Linked DNA regions of Caenorhabditis elegans. The protein of the gene in region 1 interacts with the protein of each later gene in a pairwise test. Each region holds a gene or a part of one and is shown on either strand. Other genes may lie near its edges. The genes, in order: lag-2 and lin-12.

The links.
Region 2: the proteins of lag-2 (region 1) and lin-12 interact in a two-hybrid assay, tested with the Caenorhabditis elegans proteins (one study listed by BioGRID).

Annotation. Positions count from the first base shown.
Region 1 is NC_003283.11:3,186,288-3,190,682, forward strand, and holds lag-2 (Protein lag-2), read left to right. Parts: upstream 1-2,055; 5' UTR 2,056-2,062; coding exon 2,063-2,567; intron 2,568-2,804; coding exon 2,805-3,023; intron 3,024-3,069; coding exon 3,070-3,554; 3' UTR 3,555-3,828; downstream 3,829-4,395. UniProt on the Caenorhabditis elegans protein: Probable ligand for lin-12/Notch and glp-1/Notch receptors and involved in the mediation of Notch signaling.
Region 2 is NC_003281.10:9,068,426-9,073,479, forward strand, and holds the start of lin-12 (lin-12/Notch intracellular domain), read right to left. Parts: upstream 3,048-5,054; 5' UTR 2,964-3,047; coding exon 2,815-2,963; intron 1,295-2,814; coding exon 1,176-1,294; intron 1-1,175. UniProt on the Caenorhabditis elegans protein: Essential signaling protein which has a major role in many developmental processes; involved in cell fate decisions that require cell-cell interactions. Probable membrane-bound receptor for putative ligands lag-2, apx-1, dsl-1 and osm-11.

The DNA.
Region 1 (4,395 bases):
TTTTTGAAAAACTTTCGGAACGTCTCATTACAAAATTTGGTTGCTTTGAGCCATTTTGAATCCGAAAAAGTCTCAAAAAGCAAAGTCTTAAATTTCGGTACTCCACCTTTAAAAAAAATAGGGTTTCCGCCGAAATTTCTGGGTTCCAATAATATCTGTTACCATTTCCTTGCTCTGCGACGAGCAGCCACCAGACAAAAATCTCCTAATACCCCTCTTCATGCCTTTGTTCTTCCGGTTTGGCGGTCTGAAAAAGAGCACCCCTCCCGGCGGGGGGCTCTCGGTATCTGTTCCGCAAAAACCGTCATATGGAGGGCTATCGGGAGACGGGAAGAGTTGGAAATACGGGAAATGGTGATGAATAGGTAGATCAATCGATTCCGGAACAAATAATTTGAGTTGAGCACGCGTGCTCCACATGTGCTCAGCCGCTTAGGTGTGAGTGAAGATCCTTGGATTTCAAGGCCATCAGCCATTTCCCCTGTCCAGCTAGAGCAGTCCTAAACGGAATTTTTTGCATTCTTTTGCTTCTTTACAATTTCAAATGTTCACTCTAACTAATTCAAAAATCTTTCTTTTTTACGAGCTCTCCTTGCTCGCCGTTGTATTCCATTCATACCTTTAAGACCACCCGAGTGTACGCATATTTAACCAGGCACCCTAAAAACATGAATAGTCTGTGGTGGAGGTAGACAGTGTGTTTTCTAAGAATGTCTCCGTAATTTGAAATATATTTTAGAGTCACCTGAAATTCATTTTTCAAGCAATATTTCTTACCATATCTTTGGGGATAATTTTAAAAGTGGAGTGAAGTCGTTTAGGGACACGCTTTTAAGTTTTAGGAAATGGTTTTTTTTTAATTCATAATTTAAAAAAATCTATAAAAATTGTTACATTTTTTATGATTTTCTCAATTTTGTTGAATGTTTGAATTTTTTTTTTGAGATGTATTGTTTGAATTGGAGCTTTTTTGTGAGTTTTTTTTTAATTTTGCAATTAAATAAAAAGTAGCTAAATTAGTTTTCGAATTCCCGCTCAAATAAATGTCCCAGAATTTACATTTTTGAGTTTTCCGGCTAAATTTTTGCCGTTTTTTGAATATGATTTGTAATATTTGGTCTGAACCATGGTTTTTCCAATTTTCAGAATCTTTCTCGCAAAAAATCTCCGTATCCCGCAAAATAATTGTTGAAGCGTCAAAAATTGGCCTAAAAGTCGATAAATTAACATTGATTTCGCTTTTTTTTTAGGAAAAAAGTCTAAAAGTATTTTTTAAACTATACAAAATCATTAAATTTTGACAAGAAAACGCTTAAATTACAATTTTTTTTATTTTTTAAAAATTTAAAAAAATTTTAAAAAAACATTAAAATTCAGATAAATTGCACAATTTTTATTGCACAAGTCGTTCGTCGTTCGTGTTTTTTTCGCTGTCAAAATGTTGGCAAAGATTGTGAAGTCCCCTGTAGTTTAACACTCTAAGTTACTCCAAAGACTTCTACCTGCCTACCTGCCTGCCTATCTATAACCTAGTGCCTATCACCTACTCGCTGCATAGTTTGATGTACCTATATAACAGTTCATAAATGAATTTTGTCAAAATTCCACTCTCAAGTATTCTTACACGTACTTATTTTGTACAAATCCTTGTCAGTCGCTGCAAGAACATACACATCGAAGAGGCGCAATCGAAACAACAGGTGTTCGCCCGTTGATCGTCTCCCCGCCCCGCCTGTTGGGCGGGACGGGTGTCGGTCACCACCACCACATCATATTGTTGGACACACTTTGCACATCCGGTTCACACCCGATTACCGCATCGGGGTCTTGATCTGGGGCGGCTATTGGATCTTTTGTTTATGTAGATTTTTTTCTCGCCGTTATGATTTTGGATTATTTTTTCTCTTATCTTGCAGTCGACTTGTAATCTTTGCCTGATTGCTAGCTAGCCAAAACTTTCACTTGTTCTTTTTTTTCCTCTAAGTATTTTCCCGAACTTATAGTCGACCTTGAGCTTTGCTAGAAGCCAACAACACTTTTCAAATTTGCCTTTTTTCAGAAAATGATCGCTTACTTCCTCTTACTCCTCACCTGCCTCCCAGTCCTCCAAGCCCGAGTAGAAGTCCATCAAGAGTTCATCTCCTCGAAGCGAGTCTCCGTCCGCTTCGAAATTGTCACAGAGTCCCACTCGCCGAATCGTCCAGTCACATTTGACCTCTTCCCCCGCGGCCCCAAAACCAACATCATCCTTCTCGACACGTTCAACCCGGTCTTCAACTTTTCCATTCAACTTGTGCAGCCGTTCACTGGTCAGCCGCTCGGTGATCGGATCTATCGAAAAGTTCAGTTTTCGGGCACCAACCAGCCGTGGATCAACGACACGTTCACGACGACATCTGGAATTTCGTTGAGCGTGGCGACCGAGGTCACATGTGCTCGCAACTATTTCGGGAATCGATGCGAAAACTTTTGTGATGCACACTTGGCGAAGGCCGCGAGGAAAAGATGCGACGCCATGGGACGTCTCCGCTGTGACATCGGATGGATGGGACCACATTGTGGACAAGGTGAGCTTTAACTTCAGTGTGTGTTTACGTGGTATCAGGCTGTCCCATCAGGGTTTGATCTACAAAAAATGCGGGAATTTTTTGGCTCAAAAAATGTGACGTCAGCGAGTTCTTAACTGGGTCTCAACTCCCGCATTTTTTTTGTAGATCTAGGTAGATCAAACCGAAATGGGACACTCTGGCACCACGTGTGTGTCTCAAAACTTCCTATAGATTTTTTCAAGTGTTTTATTTCAGCCGTTGACCCCCGCAAGTGCTCATGCGAGAACGACGGAATCTGCGTCTCGTCGATGATTCATCCAAGTCAGCCAAATCAAACATCGAGCAATGAACAGTTGATCTGCGAATGCACCAACGGCTTCACCGGCACTCGTTGCGAAATTTTCGGCTTCAATCAGTTCCAGCTGACCGCGCCCCGACCAGATGCTTGCAGTGTCAAAGACGCCTGCTTGAATGGTTAGTTGTTTTGTTAGAGTCTAGACATGAGAATTTGTTTTTTCAGGCGCCAAATGCTTCCCAAACGGTCCGAAAGTCTTCTGCTCCTGCGCTGTCGGCTTCATCGGTGAATTCTGTGAAATCTCACTCACCACCACCACCCCAACTACCGTGGAGATTACCGTCTCTACCTCGGGATACTCCAGCGCCGTCTACATCACAGTTGCTCTCTTCGTGATCTTCTCCATCATCATCGGATGCTTCAAGTACAAGTTCAAGCCGATGAGACAGCAGGCCTTGGCTCGTGGACAGGTACCAGAGCCCTACAAGATGCCTGAGACAAAGTCGATGCTGATCGATCCGGAAGCTTCAGAGGCTCAGAAGAAGGTGTTCACCATCGAGGGCAGTGTGCAGAAGATTGATGAGGAAGTGAGGTATACCAGTGCTCCAAGGAAGTATGAATCGAATAATGAGTATGCCGTTATTCAAAAGTCTACTCCACCGCCACCATCTTTAAGTCCACCGTCTATTCCAGCCTGTCACTATGTCTAGATTCTTCCTTTATCCAAAAAATGTGTGCTTCTTCCACGAGTAAAAATTTTCACCGTTTTTTTCTCAGTTTCTCTCTCTTATCTCATTTTCTTTAACTGTTTCCCTTCTGATGTTACGTGTAATTTCCGATCTCCTACATTCCGTCCCATCTCCCCACCTCCTCCAGCATCCCGCGTTCGTTTTTCATTTCATTGTATTCTGAAATGTTTGTTGTAATTTATACTTTTATACTTTTTGTTTTCTGTTTTCTGAAAAAAAATTGCTGATCCAAATCTTGAAAATCTGGTCCACACCTGTCTGACAGGTGCAGTGTGAAAAGCGCAACCAAAATGATACGAAAAAATTTTCCATCAAAAAATTGGCAAAAAGAATTCAAGTTTTGCAGGTGGCAGATTTGTGGTTGGAACGGATCACATCTGTCAATTTTTTTTTTTAATCATTTAGAAAAAAATATATTGTAGAAAAAAGGTTCAAGTATTTGAACTTATTATCCTTCTCCCCTTCTATCCCGCCGCCAAATTGTCAAACACTTTCTAATCCTGTTTGCACAGGTGAGGTAGGTTTTTGGCTTTTTGTATCCAGAATTATATACACACATATACATATAAGGAAAATTTTAGTATAGACGTGTTTTTTGAGCAAAAATTGAGCAGTAGTGCTTAAGATCTGGATTGTAAAAAAAATTAGCATAATATAACTAATCTCTAATACGTTAGGTAAGTACTTGAAATGTAGAAAGTGGATGGGAACCACATTAAGACACAGTAGTATTACGGGAACATTAAACTCTAAAAATGCGTATTACACAACATAAATGACGCGCAAAATATCTCGTAACGAA
Region 2 (5,054 bases), on another chromosome or scaffold:
TATCCCACTTTTTCCCAAGAATTGGCAACACACACGAGGCGCCATCGGGTCGTCGCCCAATTCACCGCCCTCTTCACACATACCGAACATCAGACATAAATCGCGCCAAAAAGAAGCGCATCGACAATAGAGAAGCGCGCATGAAACAGAGAGGCTAGGAGGGGCAGATGACCTAGGAGCTATCTATCAGGCACCTTACGCGGTCACTTTTAACGCCGCCAACAAGACAAATGAGCTGAAGAGAAATGGAAAAAGATTGGCCGCGCTTCAATTTGTCCTCGATACAAACGAGTCATGATGAAATATTGAGGTGTTTGGTTGCCGTAACTTTGTTAAATATCTACTAACTACAGATTGATGAAGTTTGGAGCAATACTCATAAATGGTTTAACGGAAAACGATTAGTAAAATTTTTGAAAGTTGGGAATGGTAAGCGCATAAAGTTTAAAGCATAGTTTTCGTAAGCTTTCGAAATATGAGGAAATGCCTGCCTGGCTACCTACAAGGCAGCCTACGTCTGTTTCGCATAAATTACACATGTAGCCACAAACTTCCAATCTTCTAATGTCTTCAATTTTTGTTGAATTTTCAACATCAATCTACAGCAAACTACAGAGTTCAAGCTAACATTTAAAAAATTAGACGGTAGGCCGGCAAGTCAGCGTGAAGCAGACATTTAGACCTGTATACGCGTTGCCTATAGGCCTATTGCTATTATACCTGTGATAGCTTTAACAATGAGTAAGTAAATTCTTATTTTTTAATCTTCGAATATTTCGTTTAGTCTTAAAAATGATACAATTCCTAGTTTCTTAACTTCCATTGAATTTTCAAATCCACCTATTCACTTTCAAATTATTATTCACCCCCAACTTTGTCAGTTGTTTGCCACAATTCCACCAGGCATGTGCTTATGATGGATGGTGTGGTCAAAAAGATGACCGACAAAAGGGCGCGCGCAGCTGACCCTAGTTTTGGAATTTTGGGCCAAAAAAACATTTCATTCGCAACACCGCCACCATGGAGGGCTAAAAAAAATGAGTGATGGGTGTTTAGGTCCCTATGGGAATTGGGCAAAAAAGTGACCACTACTGGCTCATTGGTTTTGCAGGAAAATGAGATGCAATGGGAAGTGTTGTGTATAAGTTATTCAGCTCGAAATTACATTATCTTACCTTTACAGACACAGGTCTCCATCCGATAATCTTTGTCAAAAACACATTTCTCATCGGCTCCACATTTTGAAACATCACACTGTTGTTCACAATATTCACCACCAAATCCTTCATCGCATCTGAAACATTGGGAAGGGTTAGGGTTAAAGATTAAAGACGTCGTGCAGCCGAAAGGCACCGTAATCCTATTGTTTTATGGTTTTATGACAACTGATGGTAGGCTCACTCGACAGTATGTTTTGCCGACAAAACTGGGAACACGGCTGTAAAATTGTGAGGTGGCAACTGAGTCCTCATTTGTGATAAGATAAGCAATTTTGAAGACTATTCTTTTTCTCATTCAAAGTCTCAAAATGCCGAGTAAAAGTGGCATTCGTTGCAGTTTTCCGAAGTTGCCAATTGAAAGTAAAGCAATTTTCAGAAAGTGCAAACATTTTTCTATACTTCTATTTAAATTTTCGGGAAAAACTTTGACAGATAATACATCTGATAGGGAGTTCAAAACCAGCTACAGTAATCTTACAGTAACCCCCCATTGGTCATTTCTTTTGGGAACTTGGTCATAAATCCTACCCCATTCTTTTTTGTTTGATAAGAAAAATGTGGAAGACCAGTATTTTTTTGTCATTAAGAAGAATTCTCCCCTCAATTTCCCGTATTTTTCGGTTTTCCCATGGCAATAAACTACCGATTTGGGTGATTTTTTGGCGGCGGTGCGAGACCAGGAGGGGGAAAAGCTGCTTCTCTTTCGCATTTTAATGAGAATCTCAGCGGGTTAATTGCCTGGTTTTTCTTCGACTTTGAGACGAGAATTGGCAGGAAAAAAATGGCTGAGAATTGCTTTTCTGAAGTTGATTTATCCAAAACCCGACTTTTTCCAACTTTCCCATAACACCCTGAAAGTATTGTTTTTACAATATTTTCCCTCACTTTTTCCCAAAAAAATTGAAAGTTTTTTCTACAGCGAGGGACGACGCAGGTGTCTCCTCTGTGGGGTTTTTTCTCTCATTACTCGCTCATTTCTCTTGTTGCGCAAGTTTCGTAAATGGTGGGAACCCGTGCGAACAATGTCCTCCTATTAATTAACATCAACTATAAATTAATGGTGTGTTGTTCAAGTGACACGTGTCTCTACTTGAACCATATCACCTATCTTATCAGGAGCTAGCTGCTCAACGGAGAGCACATGCCGCTATAAATCAAGACGGATTACGTAATTATTGTTTGAAAAGGGCATGGATTATGGAAGAATAGTCTACTGGTACAAACAATGTTTTGTTATAATTTACAGTACTTCTTTTACTAGTATTGCACCTAGCTACTTAACTTTGTAAAGTTATAACTCGGTTAATTTCAAAGATATAAAAAGAATTGCCGTATTTCCTCTAATAGTCTTGAATAAAAGAATAATAGAGGAAATACGGTAACTACAAAACGGTAGCAAGAGAAATAACAAAAATTTGGTCAGTTGACAATTTTGTAAAGGAAATCCCATAATTCCTAGGAATATTCCTTACCCCCAATTTATTGCGTATTTTTAAGATTAGTTTTCAAAATGTGTAGATTTGTATTATTTATTTTACGTTGAATTAAAATTTGAAAAAATGTTTAAGTATTGTTAAGCAAAATCTTCACATACCTGCACCAATAAGAAGTTTGAGTTCCATTGACAGGTCCAGCATGGCAGTGACCATTTCTTCCACATATTAAGCCAAGACATGAGCCAATATGAAGCGATTTTGATAACGAGATAAGAAGAAATAAAAAACAAATCGTAGGGATCCGCATTTTTTGAAATTGAGCAAAGTCTGTTGAGCAATAGGGCGGACAGAGACAGGAAATTAGCTTTTAGATATGGATCATGTAGGTTCTGAAAATGGTTTTGAATTATTTAATTTAGTGAATTCGTTGTTTGAAAGTTGACGACAGTAAAACGGTATAGAAATGCAAAGGATCGGACCGTACTAATATTGCACCCCTGTTATTTAGTGTTGACAGCTTATATCTCAGTTGTCATTTGTTCTAAATAATAATTGTCAGCTGACAAAATATTTTTTCCATTGTGCAGAAAATCAGTTTTTGATATCATCAAAATGAGCGGAGATATTACCTTTCAAAGTAAAGTAGTGAGTTGCAATACTAAAAGAGGAATACAGTCATCGTCAACTAACAAACAAGGGCAAAATAGAAGGAAACAGGATCAATTCTTAAAACTATAATACTTGGCTCGAAACATTTTAAATATTTCGTGAGAGCTGTAGGAATATATTATTACCAATAAACGAAACCTAATAAAACCCAAACCTGGTAGCTTTTGCATTATCATTAATTAAGGATAAATAAATGCCAATCAAAAAATGGGTGGCTATTGTTATGTCTTCACCCAGTAAAAAGGACGAGAGAGGGCGAAGGGGTGGGGGTAGGATGAACACAAAAGAGAGAGAGACAGATGGCTCCGCCCAACTTGTTGCGGTCGCGGTGCGGCCACCAAGTAGACTTTTTTTTCATCGAGAAAGAAAAGGAGGAGAAGATGATTTTAAAATGAAACGACGATGTCAGATGGTTGGATGAAGTAGAAGTAGGAGGAGGTGGAAGAGAAGAGAGTGGGAACGGAAGGAAGAATGATCAAGATGAGGAAAACGAACTGCTGGGAACGTATGGTGATTTGCGGCTTTTGGGTCTTTGTGTGTCAGTTTTAGAGTTTTATTTCTGTTTATTTCTGTTTATTTCTGTTTATTCGGATACTTTATAGTTTTTAGTTTTATACATCAATACTTGCAAAAAATTTCTAAGCTTTGTTCAAAAAGTAATATCTTGGTTTTATCCATTTAGGAACAACTGTAAGATTGTATAAATGATTTTTAGCCATTTTATAGGCGGAAGAGATTTTTCATAGCTTTTCCTGTTCAAAAGCTGAAAGAGCTTGAAAATACTAAACACATCGAGTAAGAATTAGAAAAAAAAACAAATCAAAATATTGAACACGCTTTTTCCAAGGTGTTTTCTAATCTCTCTATTTGAATTACCTCCAAAACGAGAACTGCATGGCCAATCAGCAATTCGCTCTGCCCATTCTTCAACCAATCAGATTAAGTATGGAAATTCCGAAGTCGCTAATTGGTTCAAAAGTGGGCGTTTGTTTTTGGCGGGAATTCAAACAGATTTGATCATTTTTTGATTATTTTTTTAACTGTTTCACACAATTAAATATAACCTTATTCTCGACAATTAATTGCTATCTGAACCAAATTTGTTGCAAAAATTCACGCATAGTTGTTGCTACCAATTAACTACTATTTTCCCAAAACACGGAAATGATGGATGAGCCAACAGGAGCACAGGTGTCTGTTACTGTGGTGTCATATACATGTGACGTGACAATCAACCGGCAACTTTGAACTGTCGTCGACGGATTAGTCTCAAGACCTCTTGACTTGATTTATTGGCATGGGAACCCGCCAAGGAAAGGTTTCAAAAATAACAATATTGTTAATAAATGAGTGTAACATTTAAGAAAACATTTAAAAATGGCATTAACAATAGCTCTATAAAAACCTGGTTTTTTAGAAGGCCGTTATTAATTATCAGCTTTGGTGGTATTTTGTTTTAAAATAGTCAAATCTTAAAATTACCACAAAAAAGATAATAGGAAATCTTATGAAAATGAAAAAAATGTTGCTGAAGAAAATTCAAATTTCCGTTATATTGTGAATGGGGCTACCTTGTTCTCCTACTTTTATTTGCACAAGTGCATCATCATCTGTGTCCTTCTATCTCAACCATTCATGATTATTTTGTGTTTTAGTTGATTTTTTACTGATTGATCATGCATCTAAAAATAATGGGAAAATGTTTTCAAAACTAACCTTTTAGTGGGAA